2 linked regions of the Arabidopsis thaliana genome follow. The protein of the gene in region 1 interacts with the protein of each later gene in a pairwise test. Each region holds a gene or a part of one and is shown on either strand. Other genes may lie near its edges. The genes, in order: CHI and AAP5.

Region 1 (14,822 bases):
AAACAAAGCAACATATAGTATAATGTGAAATATACACTGTTAAGCAACATATTACGTATTATAGTTATTTTTATGTTAATGACGTACAATGTACAAATTCTAGTATTCTTCACCTGAATTATTTGATGCTAAACTACGTACGTCGTGGTTATTTTCATTGTTCTTTAATTAGCCATCTCGAAATATAATTATTTCAATGTTACAAGATTTTAGTCGCTCTAATAGGATGTTTATGAATTTAAACCGACCCAATCCGACTTGTTTTTTCTTCTAAAAAATATTATCTTGAAAATGATTTTATTAAATTCGTTTTCGTCTTAGTCTAATTCAGCTATAAAGTATAAACGTTATGACCAAGTCCATAATCAAATCATCATAGTATTTCTCCTTAATCACAACTACAAGAAAAGGAAATGGGTCATGACTTTCTTATAAAACATTAACTAAGATTTGACCAAACATAATTTTGTATTATCAATATTACACCATAAATACGGCCACATATCCTCCTAGTTTCTTCACACAACTCTCCCCTCAAAACATTCCATCAAAGGAAAAAAATGGCGACACAAAATGCGATTCTGAAAAAAGCTCTCATCATTTTCCTCTTTACTCTAACCATCATGACAGGAACCGCGTTTTCACAAAACTGTGGTACAAACGGGTGTAAAGGCAACATGTGCTGCAGCAGGTGGGGATATTGTGGTACCACAAAAGCCTACTGTGGCACTGGGTGCCAGAGTGGACCTTGCAACTCTAAACCTAAACCTACTCCGACTCCAAGCGGTAGTGGCGGTCTAAATGCTGGTCCTCGTGGTACCATAGCAAGCGTTATCACACCAGCGTTCTTCAACAGCATCATGAGTAAAGTCGGAAGCGGTTGCCCAGCGAAAGGGTTTTACACTCGCCAGGCTTTCATCGCAGCCGCTGAATCGTTCGCAGCCTACAAAGGAACTGTTGCTAAGCGTGAGATTGCCGCCATGTTGGCTCAGTTCTCTCACGAATCTGGAAGTAAGTTCACCGTTTACTACATTCTATTATTCTTTTTATGTATCAGAAAATGTCTAAAAAGGAATTATTAAAGTATTATCATGTTTAAAAATTTATATAAATATCTGATTTATCAGTTTGCATTAAAAACTTTATTTTGATAATTGAAGAAAAATATAGAGACAGGAATATTTTCCTCATAAGAAATAAGGATTTGCTAGCTATATATATTACCAAAATGTGTTCCAAGAATGTGTCTAAAACAAGTTTAAAATAAAGTTTATCTGTTTGGTTATGTAAAGGTTTTTGTTACAAAGAAGAAATAGCCAGAGGAAGGTACTGCTCACCAAGCACAACATATCCTTGTCAACCCGGAAAGAACTACTATGGTCGCGGTCCGATCCAAATCACATGGAACTACAACTATGGTGCAGCCGGAAAGTTCCTTGGACTTCCTCTCTTGAAGGACCCAGATATGGTGGCTCGTAGCCCAACTGTGGCTTTCCAGTGTGCCATGTGGTTTTGGAACAAGAATGTGCGTCCGGTTTTGAGCCAAGGGTTTGGTGCAACCACGAGGAGGATCAACGGTGGTGAATGTAATGGTGGGCGTCCAGCTGCAGTGCAGAGCAGGGTTAACCATTACTTGGACTTCTGCAAGAAGCTTGGGGTCACTCCTGGAACCAATCTCTCATGTTGAAGACACTACTAGTTTATGAGGGTTTTTCATTAATGTCGTCTGGTTAAGAATTTCGTATCGAATAATAAAGTGAAGTCGAAAATACTAGAACTTATAAAATTTGTAAGAGATTAGAAGTTATATTGTGTGGTTGATGTCTCTTAAGGTAACTATATTGTGTGTTGTTTGTATCCGCTCGCTAGCATAAGTAATAAAGATGGAAGTATTATCCAATCAATATATTGGTTTCCCTGTGTTTCACACTAGACTAGTATACATGCATATAAGTAACGAAAATTACTTTTCTTCTATCATCACATCTTTTCTTCTATCATCAGTTCATCACATCTTTTCTTATTAAGTTTTAAAGAAAAGAAATTAGAGTACTAGCGGAACCAAACGAGGCTTGTGATTGATGATAACAACCAAAACAAATAAAAAAGAAGAGGAATAATGTTATAGATCACATATGATCCGATCATTTCTAACCGTCATGAAATTCATCGTAGATATGACAACATAATTATTAAGGATGTGCTAGTCTTTGGGTAACATTTTATGCTATTGTTAGATTCTGTAAAAATAAACTAGTGTTTTTGTTTTGGGATTGGCTTAAACTGGAGGCCATACTGGTTACTTGGTGATCTGAATCTAATTTCCTAAGAACCACCTTCGATTTTGTTTTTTTAATGATTCTTTAATTATTCCACATGTTTATATAATTTGCTCCTTTTTAAGTGCATCTGAAAGTCATAGGGATGGAACATTGATAACAAAGCAACAGATTGTCACGTGAAAGATTAATTCTAGTTTCAGCTTCTCAAAGTCCAGGGTTAATAGTTGACTTGCGAATTTATAGTGTTCAAATATATAGTAGCTAGATCTTGTGGATATTAATATATGTAGTCTTCCTTAAATTTCTAGCAAAAGCTTAAGTATTTAAAATATCAAGAATATATTAAATCAATTACAAATCGACTGATTTTGAACTACAAATATGTCCACAAGCCCCTCATGTTCACAAAATCCCCATTTCCTAACACTCATTTGCTATAACAAAATGACCATCAAAAACGTCATTTTTTCCCTCTTCATTCTAGCAATTTTGGCCGAGACCGTGTTCTCGCAGAACTGCATGGATACTAGTTGCCCTGGCCTTAAGGAATGTTGCAGCAGATGGGGTTTCTGTGGCACCAAAGATGAATACTGCGGATTTTTTTGTTTCAGTGGCCCTTGCAATATCAAGGGAAAATCATACGGATACGACTACAACGTTGATGCCGGTCCACGTGGTAAAATAGAAACCGTTATCACATCAGCGTTGTTCGATAGCATCATGAGCAAAGTCGAAAGCAACTGCTCGGCAAAAGGATTCTACACTTATGAGGCTTTCATTACTGCTTTCAAATCTTTTGGAGCTTACAAAGGAAAGGTGGCTAAACGTGAGATCGCTGCTATATTGGCTCATTTCTCATACGGATCTAAAAGTAAGTTCATTATATTATTAAAAACCAAAAATAAAAAATTTGCATTGGCGTTTTTACCTTTAATGCGTAAGATATTTGAAAATCATGGATGCATGCAATTTTGGTTTTTTGGAAGCTTAAAGATAATACATTTTATTTTTACGTAAAGGTTTTTGTTACAAAGAAGAAATATCGAACGAGAGATATTGTTCAAAGAGCAAGAAGTACCCTTGTGAACCGGGGAAAAACTACTATGGTCGTGGTTTGCTACAATCAATCACATGGAACGAGTATTACGGTGCCGGCAAGCACCTCGGGCTACCTCTACTGAAGGATCCAGATCTGGTGTCTCGTAGTCCAGAAGTTGCTTTCAAATTCGCAATGTGGTTCTGGAATAGAAACGTGCGTCCCGCTTTGTACTTAGGATTTGGAGAAATCACAAAGAGAGTTGATGGCCGTGAATGTGGTAACTGGCGTCGCGATGATACGAAGAACAAAGTTAAGCAATACATAGAGTTCTGCGAGATGCTTGGAGTAACTCCTGATCAAGGTCTCGATTGTTAAAGTCATTAGTGTGATGGAAATACTTTTAAATTAATAATAACTAATTTGATTGACCTATGGAACATATATATATTTGGTTTAAACTTTTCAAGATTTTATTTTGATAGTTACTTTTCAAATATCGGAACTCCAAACCAACGGCAAAAATCCATTTGGAAAACGGAATTAGTTTCCAGTACTAAATAGAAATATCGATCATATGCATGTAGCATTACGAGGGCTGGTTTGGCTTGATCTTTATGACATCATTTATTGGTATGTTTTCTCTGGTTGTATAGCTGATGCTTTCCTTTTATTTTCAATGAATTTTCGGACCAAATTAAAAAGTGAAATAGGGTAATAGGTTTGAGGATGATCGATTTACAAACTCACTAAGTTTGGCGATCGAAACACAAAAACCATAAAATTTGGAACTCTTTAAAGACGTAAACAAGATGAAAACTTTTATTCCATAGTCACAAAGTTTAAAATTGAATTTCAAATCGTTTGGACGTTTCGATTTAACATAAGCCATTTAATTTATTATTCATCCTTCCATTTCTATGTACTAGTCAATGTTGCTTATATTTTGTTTGCTAACAGATTAAGAAAAAAACAAAAGACAAAAACTCAAGAAGATATTTATTTTTTAGCCTTGGTAGATGGAAAGTCATTAGTTAGCATTAGGAATATGCAATAATGTTAGGCCATGGCTTTTGAATAATTGACAATACATGTTAAATAGTAGTACACCGCAGCCTCTAAGTGGAAAAAAAAAATTGTATAAATTAATTAATTCATTTCTACCATATAAAAAGGTTCCTTCCAAGTGGTCTACGAATACCCGAAGATATTGGACTTTTTTAGTTACCAGTACAGCTGAGGTGACCATCCTAGAAGGAAAATAAATGAAGAGATTATAGACTATCTTCAGTAATGTATGTGGATTTGTTGACGAAAAACAAAATTATACAATATATAGACTCGAATAATCAGGCAGTGTGCATGAATGTCTATATGAAACTTAAGATCATTTTATAATAAGATACACCTACGAAAAACTCTACTTTAAGATGAAACAATGAGTCCCAAATAAATTTGAAAGAATGAGTTAGTACCCAGCGAATCTGTCCTTTTATTTAATTGAGCTAATATTACTGTTAAGGGAATATGAATTGTCTTCATCTCGTAAAGTTTTTATTACTATTAAACAATATACATACGAATTTGAATTTTGATACTTATATGATGACGATGCTAACAAAACAGAAAACAATGGTTAGCGTATCTACATAATTCAACAGTAACAGCTGGTTATATGTGAAATAAGCATAAAACAAAGCCTGAATTTCTTTGATAGTGAGCACGAGTCATTATTATCCAGCGAGTACGTTGATTAATTTGAGATTTTATAGTAAGAACTTTTCTTAAGAAGTATAATTCATAAGAACTAATTGGAAGTGCAATTCTAGCGTTAGAATGTGTGGATTTAGAATTGCACTTCCAATTAGTTCTTATGATCAATTGTTTTTCTTTGACAATAACTTCATTTTAATGAGTAAATACAGTTTCTTTGACAATAAATCGAAAAACAAAACACAGTCATCTTATTTATCTACTTCTCGTTTCTTTTTATTCCTAATGCTAACTCGCAACGAATTCGTGGTGATTCAGTACTTGATAGACTTAGCATGAAGTTAAGAACTAAGGTTTGAGTAATTTCATTGCGATTGAAATCATTATAATTGATCATTATGATTATCTCTTAAACTTTAAAAATTTCCACGCGGCGACTCGAGTTTTAAAAAATCATTGAAAAGAATGAGTTGGTTGTTGAATCATACGATTCCTGAAAGTCCGGACCAGTGAGGCAGTGACCGAGCCGGAACGCACAACGTCCGGTGCAGTTGTCACTTCCACCAGAAAAGGCGAAACCAAGAGCTTTGAATTGAATAGTCAAAAATAATTGCTTCTACTCTTCATTCTTCAACGTATGCAACGTAACTTGTATGATTGTGCATTTATCATTTTTTATCGGCAAATTTTAGCCTTACACAAAAGACATAATAAAGTATCATGGCCTTTTTTGTTGACATTGTCCTTCTCTTGTCAACAATCTTCCTGGTTTTAAGATACATATGGATGGTTCAGAATGTCATATAGTATAATCTATTACTCTACACTTTGATTGATGACATTCTTATTCCGATTTTTATCCAAGTCTTTTATTAGATGAAAATCAACTGTTATTTTATAAAAAAAATAAATAGTGGATTTAAAGTGATTTGAGTGACATACATTAGGTGAAATTTGAAGGAATTTCTTAGTTAAAAAATCAAAGATGCAAATCTTATAGTTTTAGGTGAGATTTTAGAGAATGTTAATAGCAATTTCCTAAAGTTCACTAAAACCATCTCAAAACTCATCAAAACTAAAATCACTCTCAATTCATCCTTCAATACAGCCCCTAAAACTGAGAATCATTTTTTGTCAACTAAAACTGAAATTCATACATTTGATGGAATTTGAGTAGCCGCCGGGTAATGGACCCAACCAAAGGCTCACATAGTCACATGGTACCAAGATTTATAGTGATATTATGCGACATCTCTCTACCACATAGTCACATGGCACCAAGATTTATAGTGACAATATGCGACTTCTCTACTTAGGGCCGGCTTTCAGAAACTCTAGAAGAACTAGCCACTGATCGACTATATTAGAGTAGTTAATTTTATCAATTACATTTGAAATGTTTATCTCTAGTAAGATAAATATCAAACAAACAAAACTTAATCCAAGGACTTGTCTTCATATCGTCTATTAAGAGTCGAATTTAAGAAATGAAAAATAAACGATTCAAGCTTAAGTTAGTTTTAGGAAAAAGACATACTGTTTGCTCCATATAGTTTGTACATGTATTAAATATAGAATAACAAAATATTTTAATGTTTGCTCCATTGACATTACATGTATTAAACAGTTTAATAGAAAAACGAACATTTTTGTTTGTTCAATCATTGGGAAATCATAGAATTGTTCAAAATATGAAACAAAAGTGAGAAATATCAATTAATATAATAGTTCTGTTTAACAAGAAAATTGAATTTAGACCAAGTCCACAATATTCATCTTGAGTAAGAACACGACCAAAAGTCAAACTCGTTTCGAAATACATAAATATGTACCCCGCTATACAAAAAAGAAAAAGACATTTACATCCACTTATCCCAATAGACAAATGACCAAACTACCCAACATCTACCCCTATATATACCTCACCACCTTTGCCCTCTCAACCACAAACAATAACACAAAACATGGCTTTCACAAAAATCTCCTTAGTCCTTCTTCTCTGCCTCTTAGGTTTCTTTTCTGAAACTGTCAAGTCTCAAAACTGCGGTTGCGCTCCAAACCTCTGTTGCAGTCAGTTCGGTTACTGTGGTACCGACGATGCATACTGCGGTGTTGGATGCCGATCAGGTCCTTGTAGAGGTAGTGGAACCCCGACCGGAGGGTCGGTCGGTAGCATTGTGACACAAGGTTTCTTTAACAATATTATCAACCAAGCTGGTAATGGTTGCGCGGGGAAAAGATTCTACACCCGTGACTCTTTCGTTAACGCCGCTAATACTTTCCCCAACTTTGCCAATTCTGTTACCAGACGTGAAATTGCTACCATGTTTGCTCATTTCACTCACGAGACCGGACGTAAGATTTATGTCTTTCTTCTCTTCTATCTTTATATACTCAAAAATAAATTAATATTTTGTGTCTGTGTATACATCTACTTTAGTCATGACTCATTCGAAGTTTATAACTTTAGTAAACTAAACGAATGATTGGAGGATTTGATATTTTAAAACGTTTTGCATTATTTCAAAACAAATGAGGATTATATTATATTATTATAACACGTTAAGTATTTTAAGGAAAACAATTGGTTATAAGACCATATAAGATTAAACCTTTGATATTGTAGTAAGAAATGACATTTGACTTGATCTCAAGTAACTAAGATGATCCTAATCCTAAATAACTCTTCTGTTTCATGTGCATCTCCATACGTATTAGATTTCTGCTACATAGAAGAGATTAACGGAGCAACACGTAACTACTGCCAGAGCAGCAACACACAATACCCATGTGCACCGGGAAAAGGCTACTTCGGTCGTGGTCCGATCCAACTATCATGGAACTACAACTACGGAGCGTGTGGTCAAAGTCTCGGTCTTGACCTTCTACGCCAGCCCGAACTTGTGGGTAGCAACCCAACTGTAGCTTTCAGGACGGGTTTGTGGTTTTGGATGAATAGCGTAAGGCCGGTTCTGAACCAAGGGTTTGGAGCCACCATTAGAGCTATTAATGGAATGGAATGTAACGGTGGTAATTCCGGTGCAGTCAACGCAAGGATTGGATACTATAGAGACTATTGTGGACAGCTTGGTGTGGACCCTGGTCCTAACCTTAGTTGCTAAAAAACCTTTGAACCCAAACACGGACATATGTGACGTGGCATGTAATAAGTGAGATATACTAAAATTTCACACGTATGTACTTTATGTCGGGTCTCGGTGTTCCCTGCGTCACAAGCAAAAAATTGTTGTAATAAACTTGTGAAAGTGATTTTCTTTTCTTATGTGACTTCTTATGAAAGAGAATTTTAAGATTGATAGATGTTTGAGTTTGACACTTGCAGTATCTGATTTTGGGATACTCGCATAAATTGATATTATAATATTTTATAATCTTGTATTTATCACGCCAAAAACAAAAAGTTTTATAAAAAAAAACATAATGATAAACGTGTCATCACCACATTGGTAGTTTAATGGTTTTTAGATTGTTTTTGGTCAACATATGGATTCATTAGAGACGTATGCAGGATGCAGCCTAGCGTAATCAATGAGTCTGGTTTATGTTTGTGAACTTTTCAGAAAGAAAAAAAAAACTGATTTTATTAAAGAAAATAAGTACAAATGTTAGGAAATTTCGCAACGGTGATTTTTGTAGAAAATATGTTGTACACTTATTACGTTCACAATCCCCTCATATAATAATAAATGTTACCGTTTGGATTCTATCCGGTTAAATATAGAGGATCTATTATAGGATGTATAACTTTTTCTTTTTTTCTTTTTTAGGATGTATGACTTACTTATATATACAAGTCATATAGGATGTATGACTTGTATATATAAAACAACATCTATGTTATAAGTTCAAAGCATTTCATTTCGTATTTCAGATGATTTCAGTCCGCTATACGTATCTATACTCGATCTATTCATTGCAAATATTTTGAAGTTCAATGTTGAAAAGTCAAAACCATGGCAAACCATCGTACAGAGATTTATCATGAAAATATGTGTTGGCTTCTTTTAAGAGTCGGCTTTTAGAAAATGCTCGAGAGAAGAGGGGCAATTGATTGGGGACTCGGTTTGTATTATTGTAATTAATCAAGGAACACTCCAATATTTTTTTGGATCGTTTAGTAATAAGTAGTCAAATTCAATAATTTTTTCAGGTTCGATGTTCCAAGCCGTCGACAATTTTCTAACATCGCACTTCAAAAATTACCACATTTATATTTTTTGGTTAACATAATATTATTATTTGTGAAGGGCGGCTTTTCTTAGTTTCATTAACATACCGACTTTAAAAAAACAAAAAAACAAACCGACAGTTATCTATAAAAAAATAAAATATATCCTACAACTTTTTTATTCATTAGTTCCAAATTCAAAAAAAATGTGTAACCATGTAAATTAAAAGATCCTAATTCAACCAATTATTTTTCCAACTACAGTACAATTCCAATCTACCAGGTTTTTTTTTTGTTTTTAAAAGAAAATTCATTTTTTTTTTTTTTTTTTTTGTCGGCCAATTCAATTGCCCATACATCTTCGGCATAACAATCAAAACCATTGTTAAATAAATGAAAGAAATTAAATCACAATTGATTGCCAGTCCCACGGAAATGACCAATATACCCAATATCTTTCATCATATAAACCTCAAACTCTTCCCTCTCCTCAAACAACAAGAACCCAAAGATGGCTCTCACAAAAATCTTCTTAATCCTTCTCCTATCCCTCTTAGGTTTATATTCTGAAACCGTCAAATCTCAAAACTGCGATTGCGCCCCTAACCTATGTTGCAGTCAGTTCGGTTATTGCGGTACCACTGCAGATTACTGTGGTTCTACGTGCCAATCAGGTCCTTGTAGAGTCGGTGGACCCCCTACCGGTGCCGGTTTGGTTGGTAATATCGTGACACAAATTTTCTTTAACAACATTATCAACCAAGCCGGTAATGGATGCGCGGGAAAAAGTTTTTACACCCGGGACTCTTTCATTAACGCCACCAATACTTTCCCCAGCTTTGCTAATACCGTTACTAGACGTGAAATTGCTACCATGTTTGCTCATTTCACTTACGAGACAGGACGTAAGAATCTTTTTTCTCGGTTTTTGACCTTTTTATACACTAACCATATCCTAGCCTTCTAGGGTACATTACTAGATTGTGACATAAAAATTGAGTATGCGAATTTAAAAAATTTAGAGTAACAATTGTTTATTTACGTTTTAATCTACAGTAGCGTTTGAGTGTTTTAAATAATTACTAAAATACTATAACATACATACGTTTGAAACAATCATTATCTAGAACGAAAAAAGAATCATATTTAAGACGTAAGAGATTAAATTTTAAAACCTTGGATGTTATCTCATTTACTCTGTTTTTGTCCTACAATAATTATAAACTGAACATTGATTTTCTAGCATTTGTTCGTTTGTTCGTAAATTAACTAGTGTGTTTCAATATGCATCTTTGTACGTGTAGACTTCTGCTACATAGAAGAGATAAACGGGGCGTCACGTGTCATGTGCGACCAGAACAACAGGCAATATCCATGTGCACCGGCCAAGAGCTACCATGGCCGTGGTCCGCTCCTACTATCATGGAACTTCAACTATGGAGCATGCGGCCAGAGTCTCGGCTTAGACCTCCTACGCCAGCCCGAGCTGGTGAGTAGTAACCCAGTCGTGGCTTTCAGGACGGCTCTGTGGTTTTGGATGAAGAGCGTGAGGCCTGTATTGAACCAGGGATTTGGAGCCACCATAAGAGCCATCAGCGGTTTCGACTGTGACGGTAGGAACTTAGGTGGGGTGAACGCAAGGATTGGCTACTATAGAGACTATTGTGGGCAGCTTGGTTTGGACCCTGGCGCCAACATAACTTGCTAAAACGCTCTTGGGACATACATGGCACGAAAGTATTAAAGGTGAAATAAGAAGTGTTGTTGTAATTGTAGTACTTTTTTTTTTTTTTTTTTTGATAAAAAGCTAGAGTAATCTTGTGAAGTGAAATCACATTATTAAAAGATTAATAAATCGACTTATACAAATAAAATGCTTGATTCTTGATATTTATACCGCACCCAAAGAACAACAGAACATAACTTTGTTGCATAAGTTTTTGACTCCTATATGTAAAACTTCATTCCTTTCTTATCTAGTATTGTTGGTTTCTTATCTCAATTGAGCGATCGGATTAGAATTGGTCTGACAACTAGTTTATTATGTGAAACTTTTAAAATGAAGAGTTTTGTTGTGAATCAGAGGGTTTGAAAGAATTTGATTTCAGTTTAAAAGTAAACCGAATTTGTTCAAGTCGTTGTAGGCCTATGTTTTGTCTGTTTCTATACATGATTGATCAGTCTCTTGAAAGTATGATATATAGATGATAGAGCTTGTTTTCTCTATGATATACATGTTCCTGCAATATATCTTGTTAGATTACTAACTGGACTAAGTCTGGCACGTAAGACAACGATCTTCCACAAGTAATTCTAGTTTACAAGTCATTCTAATAATTTTAATTAATTTCAAAATGGTTGGAATAAAATTACCTAGTTTTACTATTTAAGAGAAGACCAACATCAAAGATTATTCTTATCTAATATTCAAATTATGGATATTAATGCATTCATATACGACTCGGGATTAGTATTTCTTACAAGACTTGTTCAATAAAATTTCTTGCCAACAATTATGACTTTTCCTGTTGTTTACAATTTTTCACAAGTCTATTGTCGATTTTAAATTTGTGTTATCACACACAACATGAGACTAGTAAAACCAATTGACATTGACTACAGGCTTCTACCGATTAAACTTATCTTGTATAACAAACTCAAACCATATTTTAATTTTTGTTTTCCAATTGGCGACTACTTTCAGTAAAAGTCACTTAGTTTCTTGCTTTTTAGAACCACAAAAACCAAATATACTTTTTTCACCTATCTCATTTTATCTCTGATAATTTTTCTTTACACTAAATGTTTGCATCACAGGAACAAAAAAATATTTGGTTTAACCAATTTCGTAGATTGAAACGAAAATGTTGGTGTTTGTTTGAAAATTTCCCAACGTGTTACGTGTAACGTTTCGAATGGTCTAAGAACTAATAAGCATGCGTGGCATTGGCGTTGACGTTGACTCAGAAAACTACAAGTATATTTTATTTACAACAAAACGTATGCTTCACGGATCCATCATCATCTATAAAACACGAAGCTAATGTTCATCATCTCTCTCTGCAGTCTGCATCACAGACACAAAAACAATGGCTAAACCCACATCACGAAATGACCGATTTGCCCTTTTCTTCATAACCCTAATTTTCCTGATCCTAACCGTTTCCAAACCGGTCGCCTCTCAAAACTGTGGCTGCGCCTCTGACTTCTGTTGCAGCAAATATGGCTACTGTGGTACGACCGATGAGTTCTGCGGCGAGGGCTGCCAGGCAGGACCTTGCCGGAGCAGTGGAGGCGGTGGAGATCCTGCTGTTTCACTAGAAGGAACGGTGACACCTGACTTCTTTAACTCTATACTAAACCAAAGAGGTGATTGTCCTGGCAAAGGATTCTACACTCACGACACCTTCATGGCCGCAGCTAATTCTTACCCTAGCTTCGGTGCTTCCATCTCCAAACGCGAAATCGCGGCGTTTTTCGCTCACGTAGCCCAAGAAACAGGGTGTAAGTAAATTTTCTCATATAATTTTGAATGAATAAAGATACTTATAACATAAATTTTATTCTAGTTACGACTATATTGGTTCAATTTGACTAAATTAAATTTCAGCATAAGATAATAAAATCAGTAATTGTTGTATACAAATTTTGGTTAATCGTATATGTCCACCACTATAGGTTTCGTTTTTGTGACCATATGGTTATACCTTGTTGCAGTCATGTGTTACATTGAGGAAATTGATGGACCAGCCAAGGCCGCATCCGGAGAGTACTGCGACACAGAGAAACCAGAGTTCCCATGTGCACAAGGAAAGGGCTACTATGGCCGTGGTGCAATCCAGCTCTCTTGGAACTACAACTACGGTCTCTGTGGCAAAGCCTTGGACGAGAACTTATTGGCTTCACCAGAGAAAGTTGCTCAAGACCAGGTTCTTGCCTTCAAGACCGCTTTCTGGTTCTGGACCACTAATGTTCGCACGAGTTTTAAATCGGGCTTTGGCGCAACAATCAGGGCAGTGAATAGTAGGGAGTGTAGCGGAGGAGATTCTACAGCCAAAGCCGCCAACAGGATTAAGTATTTCCAAGACTATTGTGGCAAGCTTGGAGTTGCACCTGGAGATAACCTCACTTGTTAAAGTTTCCTTGCTATCCATCCGAAACACAACTAGTGTTTGAAAAACTTAGAGATCACATAAGAGAAAGTATCATATTAGTATAATAATGTTGTAATACTTCACATTTTACCAAAAATAATAATAATAATGTTGTAATAGCTAGTGTCAATAAACGATTTCTTATGCATAGGCACGGCGGATTTTACAACAAAGGGCCGATGTGTAAAAAGAAAACACCCAATAGTGCTTCCCAAGACCGTAATACCCGAGATATCCTATATAAACCAAGATAAGAAATCCTCTAAGTACAGTCTGATGAAAACTATGGAAGAACACTTAGAAAATACTTGAAAGAGTATAGAGAATTAAAGAATTTATGAAAAACACTATTTTATTTGAACTTTCTTTTTGATTCATTTGTTCAACCTTTTTACAAAGGATGGGGGTGATGAGGTTTTTGTACCCTCCAAAGTTAGCTTACAAAGGCTTCTAGACTTTACCCTACAAACTCCTAGATTATTCTACATAATTATCTATCTAGTAGAATTTTCTACAACACTTAGAGGAGATGATGATTTTTTTTTAATAATGTTTCTAGAGAAATCTTATAAAACTTAGCGCAAAATCAAGTTTACCGTCGATACGCGCTGGTCATAATGTAAGCTTTAAAAGCCAACGCCAATCACCAATAGTCCAATGCACATTTGGACCGCCGGAGGAAGAATGTGAAATGACGACGTTTTAACGAGAGGTGAAGTAGACCCCACACGAGAAACTACTTGTCGTTTCAATCAAACAGAAGTAAACAATTACAGATATTTACTTGCCGTTTCAACTTCCGGATGGTCCACTCCTTAACGTTCATATTTCCTTAACGAAATTAAAAAACAAATGAAAAATTTAAGAAACTACGAGAGCCAAGTCAGCAAGAAGCGAACGCACAAACAAAACAAAACCAGAGATTTCGTTATCCACTGAAGTTCGTTTGCTTCTGTCAAATTTGCCAAATCGTAACCAAAAAAAGATGGCAGCTTCTTCTCCATCTCTCCTTCTACCACTAGGTAAGAACCTAAGCTACTGATTCTGTTTTCTGATTTCTTCTCAAAGATTAGATTTCTCGTCTTGGAATTCAGGGTTTCTCTGCTGAATCTACTTTCTCAGAGATAAAAATCTCATCTTTGTTGATTCTCTTAATCCTTACGGTTCAGATTAAACCGGCTTCATTCATGTCTTGCATAGTTGCAATTAGAATTGTAGAATTCATTACTCTCATGTTCAATTAGCTATTGTTTGGTTTTGTGAATCTGACATTGTGGTTATGAATTTAGGTTCAGCATCTAGAAATGGTCTAACCACCAAGAATCCAAATTCATCAAGATATATAGCTGCAAGAGTCATAGCTTCAGAAACAAGAGAGCAAAGCTGTAAAATCAGTAATCTCTCTAGCCGTAGAGAAGCAATGCTTTTGGTACTCGGCGTCTCAGGAG
Region 2 (16,589 bases), on another chromosome or scaffold:
ATTTTTGGAAAATAATACATTTTACATTAATATTTTTATTTTTATAAATCTCAAAAATATTTTAGTAGCTTCATAAGGTCTCAACTAATCTACAAAAATATGTTTGAGATTCTTATTATTTATGGACCCATGAGAGCGTCATCAATACCATAAAACCAAAGAATTTTTGAAATGGAGTTATATCACATAGTTCATTCTGTTGAAGACAATGTGTATGATCTAGTTAGCTTAGGTATTTCAAACTAAAAAGACATGTTTGTCTTGTAAAAACAAAATGTGACATTGGTGTGCGTTACTCTAAATTCTTTACCGATCGACCCTAATACTACTTTGATTGCTTTGCACTTGTAGTTTAGGAAATTAAAACTATATCATCATTGGTTGAGTTATTTTTTATATTATTAAAGTTCTTGAGTATATATAAAACAAAAGAGTTGAGGTATCAAAAAGACACCAAGCATGTGATATTATTCTTAAGTACTTTCACTCATTTGATTGTATAGCTTTTGAATGTAACTAATGTTATTTATTGTGTAACTAACTGAGAATTCATCGATTGCTTTGTAAAAGAAAGATCAGAATATTTTCAGTGTCATATCATTATTCTCGATTTGCTTTTGTTAAATTTTAATTATTGTTTTGTCAAGGTAAACATTGATTATCTTATTTGTATGGCTTCATTAGGCATTGTTAGCTCAATTTTATCTAGGGGATCTTTAGTTTTGGAGAGTGTTTACAAGAAGATAAACGATTTAAGAATTTGAAGAATTTTGGAGATAAACACAAAACATCTTGTAGCTCCTTTGGTTTATAGACTTCTAAAATTAATTATAAGTATTAAATGTTTAATACATCTCTACTACCTCAAGTGTCGAAAAAGCTATCCTTATACATGACTACTTTTAATCATTGATAGTTCAATGTTGTAAGAATTCTCGGTAGAAACATGATTTATAATTGAACACTTACACAAAGTTAACTAATACAAATATGACATTAAAACATTCAATTCTAATCTTAACCCTTTTAGCAGGAGTTTATTTTTCCCGTATGATCTCAGAATTCAGACTGGAAAGGTTTGTAGACCTTGAGATCACTAACAATGCCAATAACAGATCCCGCGGCCGCGGCTACGGACACAAAAAGACATGTCACACTCAAGACTTGTAGACAAACCCACTTTGTGCCCCATCTCGGAACATTCTTCTGTGCAATGTACATTTCCACTGGGAAATAAACCGTTAAAGGCCAAAAACCAATGGCCCCCAAGAGACCGACTACATCGTTAAAGAAAGGCATTAACATTGAGATCAACGTTGTTGTCATCACGAAGAACGTCCTCCATACGAGCCTGAAGAGATTCAAGTTAAAGGGCTTCCCCGGGAAGAGTTGGATCTTGATCTCTTTTGTGACGAATTCGCTCTCTGGAAACCTCCTAGAGGCTTCCTTCTCGACGAAGGCAAAGAGGGGTTGGCAATAGACTTGGTAAGCACCGACTAGATGGATCACTATAGCGAGATTAGCAATGTCAAGCAACCAATATGGGTTTCTAAACCCTCCATGAGCGAGGAGATTTCCGGGTGCGTTATCCCCAAATGCTGCATACCCTACACAGCCACATAGCATGTAGAAGACTGTAGTCACTGCCACACTTACAAAAGTCGCTTTTCTCATCGTGTTTACTTCGGCAGGCGGTGATTTCACCGTGTCCTGGATCATCAAATCGTCTAGTTGATTAAAACATCCTTTAAACAAACTCTTATCACACAAACTCGCTTAACAAATAAACCAAACGATGCACTAGTTGTAACAACGTTATTTTTCTTTTGAATCTAACTTAACATTATTTTCAAAAAAAAAAAAACTCGCGTAACAAAAATACCTGAATTTCGATGAGAATCATCGAGTAAGAGTACGCAAACGCAATGTTGCCAAGAGACTGAAATGTTCTCCATATTTTCTGCGACGATGTCACTGTCCCACTCAGTGTCACTGTCCCAACAGTGACTCCAGTGAGACTACCTTTAATTTCTTTGTTCTCTACCACTTTAGAGACACCAAGGCCAAGTCCAATGGCAGAATAAGCAAAAGACATGACCGCAGCGACAATGGAAAGCCACCATAACTGATCAAAATCAGGAATCTGAGAGAATATGATTTGTACAATACCAAACGCAATCATGTAAACATTTCCATTAACATGACAAGGATCATTTGGTCCATTCATCTGTTGGCAACTTGTCCTTTGGATTGCTCTGTAAATTTTTTATTCAAGAAAATTAGTTAACAAGTCAAACAATAATAGAGCCGTTCTTTCGAATCTTTAATGGCACAAAACAAGACTACATTGACTAAAACACTGCATTATTGAGCCAAACATTAATGACTTGTATGGACAATATTGAATAGCAAAATAAAACACGCATCTAACTTTTTTTGGACAAATGTGAACAATTAAAATAAAAAGAGTTTTGTGAAAGCAAAGTTTTAACTTACACCAAACTTATAGCTGATGCAATTGTATATCCAATTGCTGTACCAAATAGATTAACATATTGCACAACTCCACATACTTTCACCTTAATCCCACCTAAAAATGAATCAAGAATGAATTAAGTTTTTGATGATAATAACTATTGGGATATGGAACCGATATGGAGAACCAGAGATCGACAGAGATCAACGGTTGAAATGACAAGGCCAAGATACGGCAAGAAAATATTATTCTAAAAGATAAATGTTAAACTTTCTAAACTTCAATATTAACATTTATCTTCTAGAATAATATCTTTTTGTTATATCTTGGCCTTGTCATCTCAACCGTCGATCTTCGGTTCAATATCCCAATATATGCACCAAAAAGAAACCGAAATGATTTTTTTTTTGTTTACCGAGGTTGGAGTGAATAGCGTCCATGTAAGTGTAGTTTCTTTTGCCGGTAACAGAGTCACCAGATCGGTAACAAGAACAGAGAAGGGTAGATGTGTAAAAAGTAACGAAAGAAAAGAGTAACATAGCCACTGGACCACCAATCCAACCAATCTGAGCAACGGCCCATGCCAATGACAACACTCCTGACCCAATTACTGCTGTTATTATGTGTGCACTTGCTGTCCACACCGTCCCTAAACACCAATCACATTCAAACAGAATTTTAAGACAAGAACTGTAGTAACAATAAAGTCTGTTTTGTTTAACCGTTAATTTTAAGACAACAACTGTAGTAACAATAGTGTTCATACACTTTAGTAACAAAAATCATACTTTTCCATAACATCCACACAAAAAAAGAAGTAGGAATTTGTCACCCCTTAACAAACAAAGCCTATGCATATATTTACTGTAGATGTTTTAAATTGCAAGTTCAACAGACTCCGGGTTTCGGTTTGTATCCCGAAACCCGGAATTAAAAAAATTCCGGGTTTCGGGTTCAAATCCCCGGTTATAGGAAACAGAGACTAATTTTATATTTACTTTGATTCTTGTTTGAACAGATTAGAGAAACATAAAACATAAAATTAGAGAAAAAAAGAGAAATTACCGGTTCGCTTGGGACGACCATCATCATCGAATGAATCCGAGCTATGTTTCGGAAGAACATCCAAATCTTGAACATTCTGAACGACCATCTTCTTCTTTTGGTCGACAATAAGACCAAAATTTACTAAGAAGAATCCAAACTTTACCGACAGGAAAAACGGTTGAAAAAGTTTTACTTGTTTTGTGTTTTCTCGTATAGATCTTGAATTTTTTTAAGACCAGAAGAAGAAGTGAAATCAACGATTATTCAGCGAGAAGAAGAATGATTTTGACCAAATAAAATCAACGGTGACAAGAGACCGATGTTTTCTATGGACCAGAGATTATATAATTGGAAGAGAGTGAAAGTATAGGAATTGACAAAGTAGAGATTAGAAATGCATGATAATATAAATACTGACCAAAGCTTTTGTTGTTTCACTAATTTATAAGCACCGTGGAAGACGGAGACATCCAACTTGTAAGAAGGAAGAAGCAGAGGAAACCGCATGTGCTTTTTTTTTTTTTTTTGTGAGGACTACAAAAATAGTTTATCTTTTTATGAGAAAATGGTTTCATTGTTATACATTAGTGACAACAAGTGCAAAATGTCAAATCTTATAAATTACATATAAGCTAAACAATCAAACTAAATTTTAAGATTTTTACCTTTAAAATATAGATATTTTAATTTTAAATTTTAGAAACAATGATTCATGTCCTTATAATTTAAGAGTATTTGAGTAAATCAAAGTAATTTAAGAAAATATATAATTAGAGATATAGTAGTTTTTATTATTATTGATTATTATGTTATATGTACTTTTGATGTCAAGAGAAAGTTGAAGGAAGATTTAACTTTTGAAATTCGTTATATCATTTGTAAATGAACGATTTGGTGGTATACTTATATTAATATTTTAGAATCATTTATCATAGGCATTACTCAAAAAAAACAAAATATATTTAACATGGGCATGTGTTCAACCATAATTATAAACAAATTGATAAAGTATATATTTTATTAATTTGTTATTTAAATAATTAACGTTTACCATGGACTTCTTTCGTCTATATCTAGTATATTTCTAAAAACTTTCGGTTGGTTTTGAGGAAATGAAAGTGGAAACTATGTATAGTGGTGTTTGCATGTTATGAGTTTGGTCACATTATATACTCTTTTTTGGTTGATAGGTTCTCACAAATTGAAGTTACAAAACAATGTTAAATATTCTCGATTATTTTCCATTTTATTTGTGGAGTTTTTGTATGAACATGCAAAATACACCTCGATTAGATGAAGTTTTTCAACATAACATTGCTAGAATTGCTAGGATTAATCTCAATTCTTAAAAATTCCATAAAAGCTAAACATCAAACCAAATTTTAAGATTTTTACCTTTAAAATATAGATATTTTAATTTTAAAATTTAAAAACAATGATTCATGTCCTTAATTTAATGAGTATTTGAGTAAATTAAAGTAATTATAATTAGAGATATAGTTGTTTTTTCATTATTATTGATTATTATGTTATATGTACTTTTGATGTCAAGAGAAAGTTGACGGAGGATTTAACTTTTCAAATTCCTTATATCATTTGTTTTTTTTTTGTCAACCGGAATTAATTAAACTCAAACGAACCAATTCCGAGGAATTAAAAATAAAGAGATGCTAATAAATTTTTCTTTCTCGCTCTTAAATTCTTTCAAATACACTGGAAACACCGACCATTCGGTTGGAAAATACACTGTCGTTATATCATTTCTAAAGAGTATAAATGAACGATTTGGTGGTATACTTTACTATTTTAGAATCATTTATCATAGGCAATTAGATATTATTTTGAAAAAGAAAATATATTTAAAATTTTGATGGGCAAGTTTTCAACCATAATTACAAACAAATTGATAAAGTAAATATTTTATTAATTTATTATTTAATAGTTATTTAAATAATTAACGTTTACCATGGACTTCTTTGTCTATATCTACTATGTTTCTAAAAACTTTCGGTTGGTTTGAGGAAATGAAAGTGGAAACTATGTAAAGTGGTGTTTGCCTGTTATGAGTTTGGTCATATTATATATACTCTATTTTCGTTGATAAATTCTCACAAATTGAAGTTACATAACAATGTTAAATATTCTCGATTATTTTCAATTTTATTTTTGGAGTTTTTGTATGAACATGCAAAATACACCTCAATTAGATGAAGTTTTTCAACATAACATTGATAGAATGGGTTTCACTTTTTTTAAATGCTTATTGCTGTGCAATGGTTTTCCGAAGTTTTCTGCATATATGAATTACCAAAAAATAGGAAATTTAATATAATCATTGGAACATCTAATCTATTATTTGAGTTGGAAAACATTTTGATTTTTCAGAACGATGTTGTTGGAAAACCAATAATTCATCTGAAAAGTATATTGATAGAAAAAGTTGACAAAAAAAAATATATATAGATGAAAAATAAATCAAAGTATCTGTTTTTCTTAATATATTTTTTAAAATTCATGCTTTGATATAGCTGTATTCAATGTGCAATTATATCTCGTGTTTGACACCAGATTTTGTGTCTGGAGTTAAAGCTGAGTTGCCTATATTTGGTCCACGCATTTGGGTATTCGGTTCGGTTTTAAATAGTATTAGTTCGATTAATTTTTGACAAATGTACTAAGAATTTCTGAATATTTTGGTTATGTTGGTCTAAAAATAATTAATAATTTTGGATTATAGTTGTAATTTTGGATAACTAAGAAATTTATTAATATGTTGAGTATATAATTTATATTTTGTACATTACATGACCAAGTAGGTGTTCGGTTCGATTCTGGTTCTTCAGATATAGGAGTTTGGGATTTCTTCAGATATTTTGTCTCTTTCGGGTTTAATTCGATTTTTTTTGTTGGATCGATATTAGTTCGGTTCTATTTAGATAGCATAAAAAAAATGAGATAAAATAAAATTAAATCATAATTTTGCGATTGTTTCTAAGTTGTAATAATCGTTGGAAATACCTTACATTTTAAGCTTCGATATTAAGCTACTAGATCAGTTTTGCCAATATTTTCAGATTATACCGACCAATAAGATTGACCTAACCGAGAATAACCATCTAGTCGTGTGCTCGAATAAAAACTAGATTTGAGTTGAATGATGGAACGAGATGCGGTAAGGTGTGGTAAGTTCACCATGGTTTTAGCTTTGGGAGATATTCTCCTCTTCTCCTCAAAGGTGATAAGTATCACAGTTGAATCCTGGATTCCGGTTGAGATATTGTCATCTTCTCCTTCAAGGTAATGGATTGTAAGTTAAGATTTAGAGCTTAATTTTTAACTGTAAGAATATAGGGTTTGTGGTTTATGTTTTGGTTTGATATATGGATGTACTTACCTATTAAATTGAACACCAACCATGTAAAGACACCTTAATTTATTGTGTATGTATATTTAAACTTTTAATTTACTTAAAGTTAATTTTCGGTGTTCTAGAACATGGGCTAGATGAGCATCTAGGCGTTATTAGGCGGTGAGGTAGATTTGGCGGACTATGCGGTCACTAAACAAATTAGACATTATTAGGTGGGTTTGTGCGGGTTAGGCGGATTTAAATGTGTCCTAATGTTAAAAATATATATATTTAAAATTGGGTCTAAAGACACCTATAATTTTTATATTCTACTTTCAAATGTTAAATTTCAATTCATTCTAAAAAATGTAAAAATGTTATAAATTTTCATAATGTTTTTTCAGCATCTCATATAATTATACAAATATTCTAAAACTGCCTTAAATCGCCTAGACTCCGACTAAGCATTTCTAGGCACTAGATGGAGGATTACCGTCCGTTTAGCGCATAGCGCTTTCTTGAACATTGCTAATTTTATTTTTACATATATAATTTAACAAAATCTACAAATAGAAAATAACTGAAAAGGGGGAAATCATTACAAATATGTCCAATTTTCCTGTGTATTAAATCATTTACAAGAAACAAAAATATTGGTCTAAATAAAAGCTCTTGATTCTTAACACTTAACACATTTTCTTTTGTCAACAATGATACAATATATATTATACGAACTTTAATACGACAGTATACTACAGCTTCACAAATCATTATGTTATATACTTATAGGTCATTCAAATTTTACCCATTTAAGAGTTTAAATAATACAATATGTCTTGAAAATCATAAAATGATAGTATAAAAAAAAGGAGAAGCCTTTAAGAGAAAATTGAAAAAAAAAGACTATTAATTTGAACTTTCATTATAAATTGATGGGAATGTGAGATAATACTGTGTGAATGCAGTGTCCAACAATAGAACTCTTTATTGAGGAAAAAGCCGCAACATTATTTAAATTGATTGGTGATGTTTGGAAAGATGGTGAATTGCGTACGACCATCGAAAGTTGGTCAGTAAAGTGACTTTGAATATCGATCGACTTACTCTCACTTACCATCGAGTTCAAAACTGTTGACCTTTTCAGTTTCCACCATTGAATACAAGTCAAAGTTCGATAATAATAATAATATCCCAAAAGAATTCGATAGTTCTTAAATAAATGACCAAAAAGCATGTCAAAAAGATAAAAATAAAATAATAATAATGGCCAAAAAGCTTCATACCAAAACAATGCGTAAACATTCTTAGTAATACATTTTTCAGAATCTAAGTCATACATTTTTATTCGTTTTTCAACTTATAAAAACAGAAACTGGAACAAAGCACCCTTTCTACATCCCAGTGGTCAAGTTGCCACTGCATGTAGGTTTAAGGATTTATTCTTGTAGACATACATGGCTAGCTAGTTGCAGATCTAACAAAGTATTTCGAAATTTTGTAGACAAAATTATATACTGAAGAAAAATATTGATTTGAGGGTAACGACAATTGTTAAACCGAAAAGAGTAGTATTTTATTCTATTTTGGCTAAGCAGAATAATATGTTATAATAGTACACATAATAAAAATACAAATTTATGTTTTTTTTTTGTTAAAAAAAATTACAAATTTATGTTTTATACACGATATGGCAAGTTGTCACTGAGATTACATATCCATTTTTCGATTATTTTGTGTTTGTCTAAAAATTTACAACTATAAAAATTTATTAGTATAGTGAGGGAAAAAAAATGATTCTCACTATACAATAAATATTTTACGAAGAGATATAAACGAGAAAAATAAGAGAGAACGCAATAATTAATATGTCTTTGAGCCACTTCATATAGATTTTGTACCATTTTTTTTTCTTTCTTATTGTTCTAAGTGCAATAATAATATTTTTTTTTGTATAGACAAACAGGAAACTTGATAGAATTTAGGATTTATAGATATATTCAGAGGTTATGCTCCTCTTTTTTGGGTTTAGTTTTCCGGGAATAGTTATGTTTTCCACCGGCTTAGTTTCTCAAAGACTTTCGACTCTTGTCGATCTTGTATTTCAAAATCCTATTCTACCTACGTATAATATAATGGAATCATGCAGATGAAAAAAAAGAGATATATTCATAGGAATGAAACTTTACAAGTAGATGATTTATTTTCTTTTTCAATATTCTGATTATTACAGAGAAAATTGTAGACTGCCCAATTTCTATATATAGTTTAGTAAGTTGGACCGTTTTTTGCTTTAGCATTGATTGGTTATCTTAAGATACTCGAGTTGGATGTTTGTGAACAATATTAGAGTAGAAGAGTTAGGTACGTTATTATCAGTAGGCAAGAAGCATCAAATTCCAAATACTTCCCGTAAAGAATAAAATAATTACAAAACAAAACTCAATATATTGGATCTAAATTATACTTTTCCTATGTATCCTAATATTTTTCAATTGTTATAATCTTTGTAATCATATTTTTGTATTAAGGTAAACTGAACCATAATTTAAACTATACTGTGGATTTAATTTATAGCATTACCGTATTACCATGCATGCACCCGAATTTATATAAGTTCAATAGTTTTCAGAACTATATAACTATTGGTTTTATTATTTTACACCTAAATTGTTAGTCCATGATGATAAAAAAAACATAGATATACATTGATGGCCATCTTTCTATATCAGTAAGAAATATTCTAATCGATCGAGGACCAGCCAAAACATTCTTCAATATAAACAACTCTTTATAAACATGATTCATATTCGTATGCAGCTTCCCTGTATCCACTAGTTTTGAAAAGATATGCTCGTCTCTTTACACACTAAACTATTGTATTACTATGAAAGTAGTTATTGTCAAGCGTTTGCATGTCGGTAATACAAATTTAAAACAATAATTAAGATTACGATTTAGATATTGGTATAATTTAACTTTCTATACTTGTTTTAAAAGGTTTTCGATGCATGTTTATTATTCTATCTTAAAATATTATATTTATTTGCGGAAGTTCCATTTGTCTAATGGTTGACCAATGGTTCATTTAAGCTTTTACATTAAGAGGTTTGGAGTTTAAATTCTAGCTACTGCAATTTATTAGTAGATTTGTAGATTAATGGAGGCAAGTGTGCAGAAAATCTCTAACGATGTACAATTATAGTTGTTCACTAAGATTCTACGCAGAGAAGATATTGAAGATGTCCATCAAAAACATGGAGAAAGAGAAAGAGGTGTCGATCGACATATGTGCTCAAAAATAAAACAACTAAATATATGTTTATGTTTAGATATTGAAACCCCTTGACAAAAAGAAAAAGTTTAGATATTAAAACCATATATAAACATTAAAATATGTCATAGTAATTTTTTTTTTTTATTAAGATCATGGTAAAATTATGCGTAGATATAGTTTTTATTGAACGAGATCAATCAGAAAGACGGAGACCAAAAACTATTGGGGACCAACTAACAAGCAACTGAAGTCGTCGAAGCACATTTGAAGTGAACGTTGTGAACTCCTAACCTAAATTTATTCTCGAACAAATTGTATTGTGATTAGGATTCATAGTTAAAGATAGGGAAGTTCTAAACCAATTATTAGGATAAGTTCCAAATCCATTACGTCCACAAGATTAATTGGTCTACAACCAAATTTAGTTTAAGTTAGGTTTTATTGATCTCCCAAAAAAAATTGTTACATCGAAAAACTCGAATTCAAAAATAGATCACCGTCAGATAGTTTTCTACAAAAAAAATTTTGTCATTTGATTTTAATTAAAACTCAAAAGAGCCAAAACTGAGAAATATTGTTTGGAAAAAATATCGAAAAAGCACAAACTTTCAAATTTGGAAAAAAAACATATAAAATTTTGAAATATCACTTAAATACCAAAGTTGTTGTTGACTTTATAATTAAATAGATAATTTTTGTGACTTTACCATTTTGGACACGTCGTTAAGTCAACGGACAAAAAAATTAACTCGGAACCTCTCAGATGTATCATTCATTCATTCCATTACCGACTAAGCTGAAGCATTTAATTGTTCGTTCTCAAAGACATACATATTTTATATAGGTTACAACAAAATTAACGGGGTTAATCAATTTTATTAATAGGTTCTGTTTCTTGTCGCTCTGTAATATTACAAAAATCATTTGTCCTAAAACATTTGATGTCTTACGGAAATCAAGAATATTGCAATTCAAGAATGTTTAAATTGAACATTGAATTCAGTAATTTATCAAATTCATTTATCACTTGATCAATAATAGCCATGAAATCTGCATAACACGTTTGTTTGCATATTTAAGCAGATTGATAATAACTTTTCCCACTTTTACCAATCAAATCATATCACCTAATTACGTCACTTTCTAGAGGAAGCCAAAATAAATCAGCTTAACAAGTTTTCAAAGTGAGATCGTAGATAGCTAATTTTATAAATAGACCAACAACAGCAAAATCATGTACAATCAAACAATTAAATCCAACACAACATTGGAACAAAGTTAAATTAAAGGATTTTTAGCTGTTGTTGAAGAACTCTTGTGGGATTACGGATGGACAAAACTTCTTCGCCACAAACTTGTACTGCAAAAAAAAAACACAAAAATCCAATCGTTATTAGCACATAAAACAACTTAATCATCATTCTTAATTGTTATCACAAATAAATAAACACAACAACTTACTTTGTGTTGACTATACTTCTCTCTAACAGCAGGTAGTGTAGAGCCGTGAGCAGTACTACACAATCGTTGAAGATCCTTCACACATCCTCTCAACTCCATCGCTTTATATTGCGTATAGTGTTGCAACGTCGAGTTCTGATCCAACCAAACAACAAACACATTTTACTACATGATTCTTATAAAGAGTAAAACAGTGTCTTAAGGTTGTTTAAACATACCCATGGTCGTCTTGTTGGGTCTAGAATGTACTTAGCCAAGAAAATGGCGGAAGCAGCTACTAGTGAAGGAGAATGAGAGAGCATAGTGTACTCTAGTAGCGATAATTCCGCAATGTAGTTAGCCATACATTCTAGCTGCATCAATGGAGCTTCATGAACACCATGAGCAGCTCGAACAAAGCGTCTGAAAATTCAAGTTGTACGATCCAACTGGTTAGTAATTAGTACAGAATTGTATGAGATAAGAGAAGGATCTGTTTTGTAAAGCAATCATCTCACTAACCTTAGAAAACATTTCGTAGTTGGTGCAGTCATTTCAAACTTCAAGTAATTCAGAACATCAGATTCCATATCAAGAACTTCATCTTTGAGATATGTATTATCAGTAATGTAACAAAACTCCTCAACTTGTGGAGCACATATCTCTTCATATTTCGCTGCTATCATCATACAAGCCACACCAAGCAACTGAAGTTTCTGTCTACTAATCACATTCCCAGATAAATACCTATCTATATAGTTCACAGTCAAATACAACGTCTCCGGTACAAGCCTATACTCTTCAGACACCTACAAGAAACCGAAAAAACCCTTAATAAAACATCGACAAGAGTGACAAAAGCCATCACATTTTCTCAATATAACTATCATTCACCTCAATAAGCCAATCAACTAAGATTCCACGCATACTCGAATTCACATCTTTCTGAACTCTCTCCATGTAATCAACATCAGGTCGCTTCTTAGCCTAGCATATAGATGATACACAGATTCAGAAAACTTGCAAACACATAAAGCTAAAAATATCACATTCTGGTTAAGAGTTATCACCTCAGAAGCACGAAGATGCTTATAAATGTCACAAGCAAACGTAGCACAAAGCTGAGGATCACCATTGTTACTATCAATGTTAACAATCTGATTCTTATCCATTTTCTTCATATCAGATAACACATCTCTACTACAATAATTATCTGCAATACCAAGCAAATCAATTCAATACCAAAACAATATAAACAACAAAGTCATAGAGAACCATTAGTAAGAAGTAGTACCAATTGTTTCTGAATTCGGCGTTATGAACAGATTACTCAAAGCTTTCCTCTCAATCGAAACAACAGCCGAAACGTCGTCGTTTTCGATATACTCAACTTGAGGACTCTTGTAGGAATCACTTGAAGACCTAGTCTCGTCCATTGATACTGAGCCATCATCAGATTTGCTAGGTGAAGAAGCAACTTTGTGAGGAACTATGCTTTGTTGCAGATTGCTAGAGAAACTGGCATTAACGCAAACACTTGGTGCTATCTTCAATTTCGCTGACTTGTTTGAACAATGTACCTATACAAAACCAAAATCAAACTCAAAATCAATAAGCAATCTCATAGATTCAATCAAAGAAACAATGAATCCATATTCAAAATTGATCACAAAAACCAAATCCACAACAAAAAATGAAGCGAAGAAACAATGGATCTATAGTGAATTAGAGTAAGCGAATCTTCAAATCAAACTAAATAGATCACAGAAACGAAAGATTTTGAAAAATTCATAGCGAAATTGAAGAACCTCACCGAATCAGAATTTTGTAATCGTGAGGCGATTTTTTGATTGGTAATGTTACTTAACGGTGCTCGTTTCTTCGTCATCGCCGGCATAAGTTTAACAGAATTCTCCGATGAAGATGGTGCTTGACGCTTCGCTAATGAAGATTTCGTCGAAGAGGAAAACGAAGATCGCCGATTCTGAAGAATGTTCGACATTTTTTTTCTTAGGGTAAAATGAATCTTCTCTGAGAATCTCTGAAAAAGGAAACAGAGTTTTAATGGCGAAAGAGAAAGAGAAAGAGAGAGAGGTTTTAAAAACAAAGCGAAGGAAGTGAGGTTAAATAATTTTTTGAAATTTGAGGAATGATCGTGACCGTTGATTTTGAAGTGTAGATTTTGTTTTGGAGCGTGCACGAATTTTAAAGGTGTATGTCTGTTATTTAGTATTGATCACTGACCTGTTATATTACGCCACGTATGGGTTAATTAGCTTTTAGGGAAACAATGTGTGACAGTCAGTAACGAGACTCGGTTCGGTTTACTTTTTTTGAATTCGAATTTCAAACGGAAATAAATTCGAATTTCAAACGGTCACCTTTTGGGTGCTCTTTCTCTCTTTTTTAAAATAAGTTGGAGACATAAACCATATAAAGATAAATTTATACATTGAAATCAGGAGCTGCTATTTTTCAATTTTAAATACTTTTACCACGAAAATTCAATGTGATTTGCTGTTTAAAATTTTCAAAATGTGAAATATGGAGTTTATGAGTAAAATATTTGATCATGATATTTCTTGAGTGTTGTTACTTGTTTAGTAACAAGAATACATTAGAGAAATCTCAAGTTCTCATGAATACATTAATTTTGGTATTCACCGATACTAGTCGTGGCTAAGTTAGAAGGTCTATATCAAGTTTTTGATGAATATTGTTAAGACTAGCATTGTTATTAAGAGTTGGATAGGAAGTAGGAATTTTTCATGATAGTATTGATGCTAGTTCATGGTAATATTGATGCTAGAAAATAAGAGTTCGTTAGGAACTTTTGGTGAAGTAAAGATTCACTTAATTGGAAATTATTAAGTGAAATTAATATTAAGTTATTAAGTTATGGTTGATCAAGAAATTAATAAATCTCGTGTCTCGTCATGTTTATCTTTAGGGCATCTCCAACCATAACACCATTTTAGTATTGAAATAACACTATATTTGGTGTAGTTTTCACACTAAAATATTTTTCTTCTCCAACCATAAAACTAAATATCACACTAAAGCTAATATTTTCTATTATTATACTATTAACTAAAATTTTAAAATATTACACAGTATTAAAAATAAATATTACACAACAAAATAGTATGTTAAACAAAATTAATTACAAAAAAGTAACACAATGACAATACAATTGCATTCACACATAATATTACACAAATTAAAATACTACAAGAATACTAATACTCACATATCATTCATCAAATTCCAAAGATGTTTAAATTTAAAACCTTTCTTTAGTTTTGTAATTTTATGTTTTGAATGTTAAGTTGAATTTTTATTATGTATCAGCTATTTTAATATACAATCATATTAAAATAAAATAAAAATTGATACTTAAATGTTTGATGTCGCTACAGTAATACACCAAATATAGTGATTTACTGTACAAGAAAATGGAATCACACCATAATAGTGCAAAGTATAGCGTTTGGTTGGAGACAAAAAGTAAACATCCCCATGTCAAGATAACGTTTTGCCGTCACATTGGACATGGTCTTAAGATGTACAATGGAACGGCAAAACGTTATTTGGAGGTGGTAATATTAACTTTCTGTCTCCAACCAAAGTGTATATTTTGCACTATTATAGTATGATTCTTTTTTTATTTATAATAAATCACTATATTTGTGTGCTACTATAACAATAACAAAAATTGAATTAATATTATTATTTATTTTAATTTTATTAAAATAGTATATTTAGTTATATATAGTATATAAAATATGATTTGTATTGTTATTTAACAATCTAATTAAGTTTTGAAGTAAACATAATGTATCAAAACTATTTTTGTATTTAAAATTTTAATTATATGAAATCTTAATTTGTAGAAAATATTAAAATTAATATAAAAATTTTAATTGAAGATACATAACAAATTTCAATCAACCATTAAAACAGTTTTTTAGCTCGACATAGACAAATTAAGATCGAGAAGCTCATATTGAATTTTGAAATGTTAATTGAACATTTGTTGTCGTTAGAATTAGTATGATGTAATTTATTTTTAGTATGTAAATTTTTGGATTATAATTTTACATTAATTGATAATTTTAAAATATTAACTAAGAAAATGTTCAATTTAACAATATAATAGTGAGAATAGTATTTTTAGTGTGATATTTTGTGTTGTGGTTGAAGAAGAATAAAGCTTTAGTGCTAAATTTACATTACACATATTGTTATTTCAACACCAAAATGATGTTATAGTTGGAGATGCTCTTATACCTTTCACCATCTTCTAGATGAAGTTTTACAAATCTTAACATCTCTCGTAGATTGTTATTTCAACACCAAAATGGTGTTATAGTTGGAGATGCTCTTATACCGTTCACCATCTTTTAGATGAAGTTTTACAAATCTTATCATTTTTTGTAGAAACAAAAAAATAAAGATGAATAACACTATTTGTATATTTCTTTTGGAACTCCCAATTAAATATAAAGTTCCTTTTGTTTTCTAAAGGGCTTTTAATACCAACTTAAGGCCAAGAGAGATTTGGTCCATCCAATTCAGTTAACCCGAAGACAAATTAATTTTAAACAAAATTATAACTCCACACATTTTCTAGAAATCGAAATAGTAAAAACAGAATTACGTCAATGTCAAAATAATCTGTCCGTACGTCACCTAGTCATATTAGTTCTTACTAAATTAGGTGTGCGATAACTATTGTCAAAAATAAATAGTAAACGAAAATGTGAAAGAATGAGAAAAGATTGCGTAAAATAGTTATAGTTTTGGATTTTGTGATTTCACCTCTTCTCTGTCGAACCTTTAAAGAGAAAATAAACAAATTCTTTTACCTTTTTCTTTGTTTGTTAGCAACGGCAAAAGAGAGAAGTAGGAAAATTCATTTTTCATTTCGTCTTTTTTTTTCTTCTGAATTCATTGAGAAACTTGGATCCAAATTATTGATTCAGAACCAATCATCTTTTACA

The links.
Region 2: the proteins of CHI (region 1) and AAP5 interact in a two-hybrid assay, tested with the Arabidopsis thaliana proteins (one large-scale study listed by BioGRID).

Annotation. Positions count from the first base shown.
Region 1 is NC_003071.7:18,074,923-18,089,744, reverse strand, and holds CHI (chitinase), read left to right. Parts: upstream 1-12,227; 5' UTR 12,228-12,309; coding exon 12,310-12,724; intron 12,725-12,937; coding exon 12,938-13,356; 3' UTR 13,357-13,579; downstream 13,580-14,822. Other genes in the region: AT2G43610 (Chitinase family protein), read left to right, coding at 561-1,011, 1,293-1,687; AT2G43600 (Chitinase family protein), read left to right, coding at 2,664-3,153, 3,302-3,696; AT2G43590 (Chitinase family protein), read left to right, coding at 6,996-7,386, 7,750-8,153; AT2G43580 (Chitinase family protein), read left to right, coding at 9,732-10,125, 10,525-10,928; AT2G43560 (FKBP-like peptidyl-prolyl cis-trans isomerase family protein), read left to right, coding at 14,360-14,396, 14,664-14,822.
Region 2 is NC_003070.9:16,763,595-16,780,183, forward strand, and holds AAP5 (amino acid permease 5), read right to left. Parts: upstream 4,092-16,589; 5' UTR 3,630-4,091; coding exon 3,542-3,629; intron 3,126-3,541; coding exon 2,892-3,125; intron 2,845-2,891; exon of another isoform or gene 2,665-2,844; intron 2,591-2,664; coding exon 2,497-2,590; intron 2,256-2,496; coding exon 1,883-2,255; intron 1,711-1,882; coding exon 1,057-1,710; 3' UTR 798-1,056; downstream 1-797. Other genes in the region: CYCA1;1 (Cyclin A1;1), read right to left, coding at 11,441-11,506, 11,608-11,742, 11,826-12,009, 12,109-12,395, 12,481-12,573, 12,657-12,799, 12,881-13,166, 13,400-13,588. UniProt on the Arabidopsis thaliana protein: Amino acid-proton symporter. Stereospecific transporter with a broad specificity for glutamate and both neutral and basic amino acids. Reduced affinities for asparagine and valine.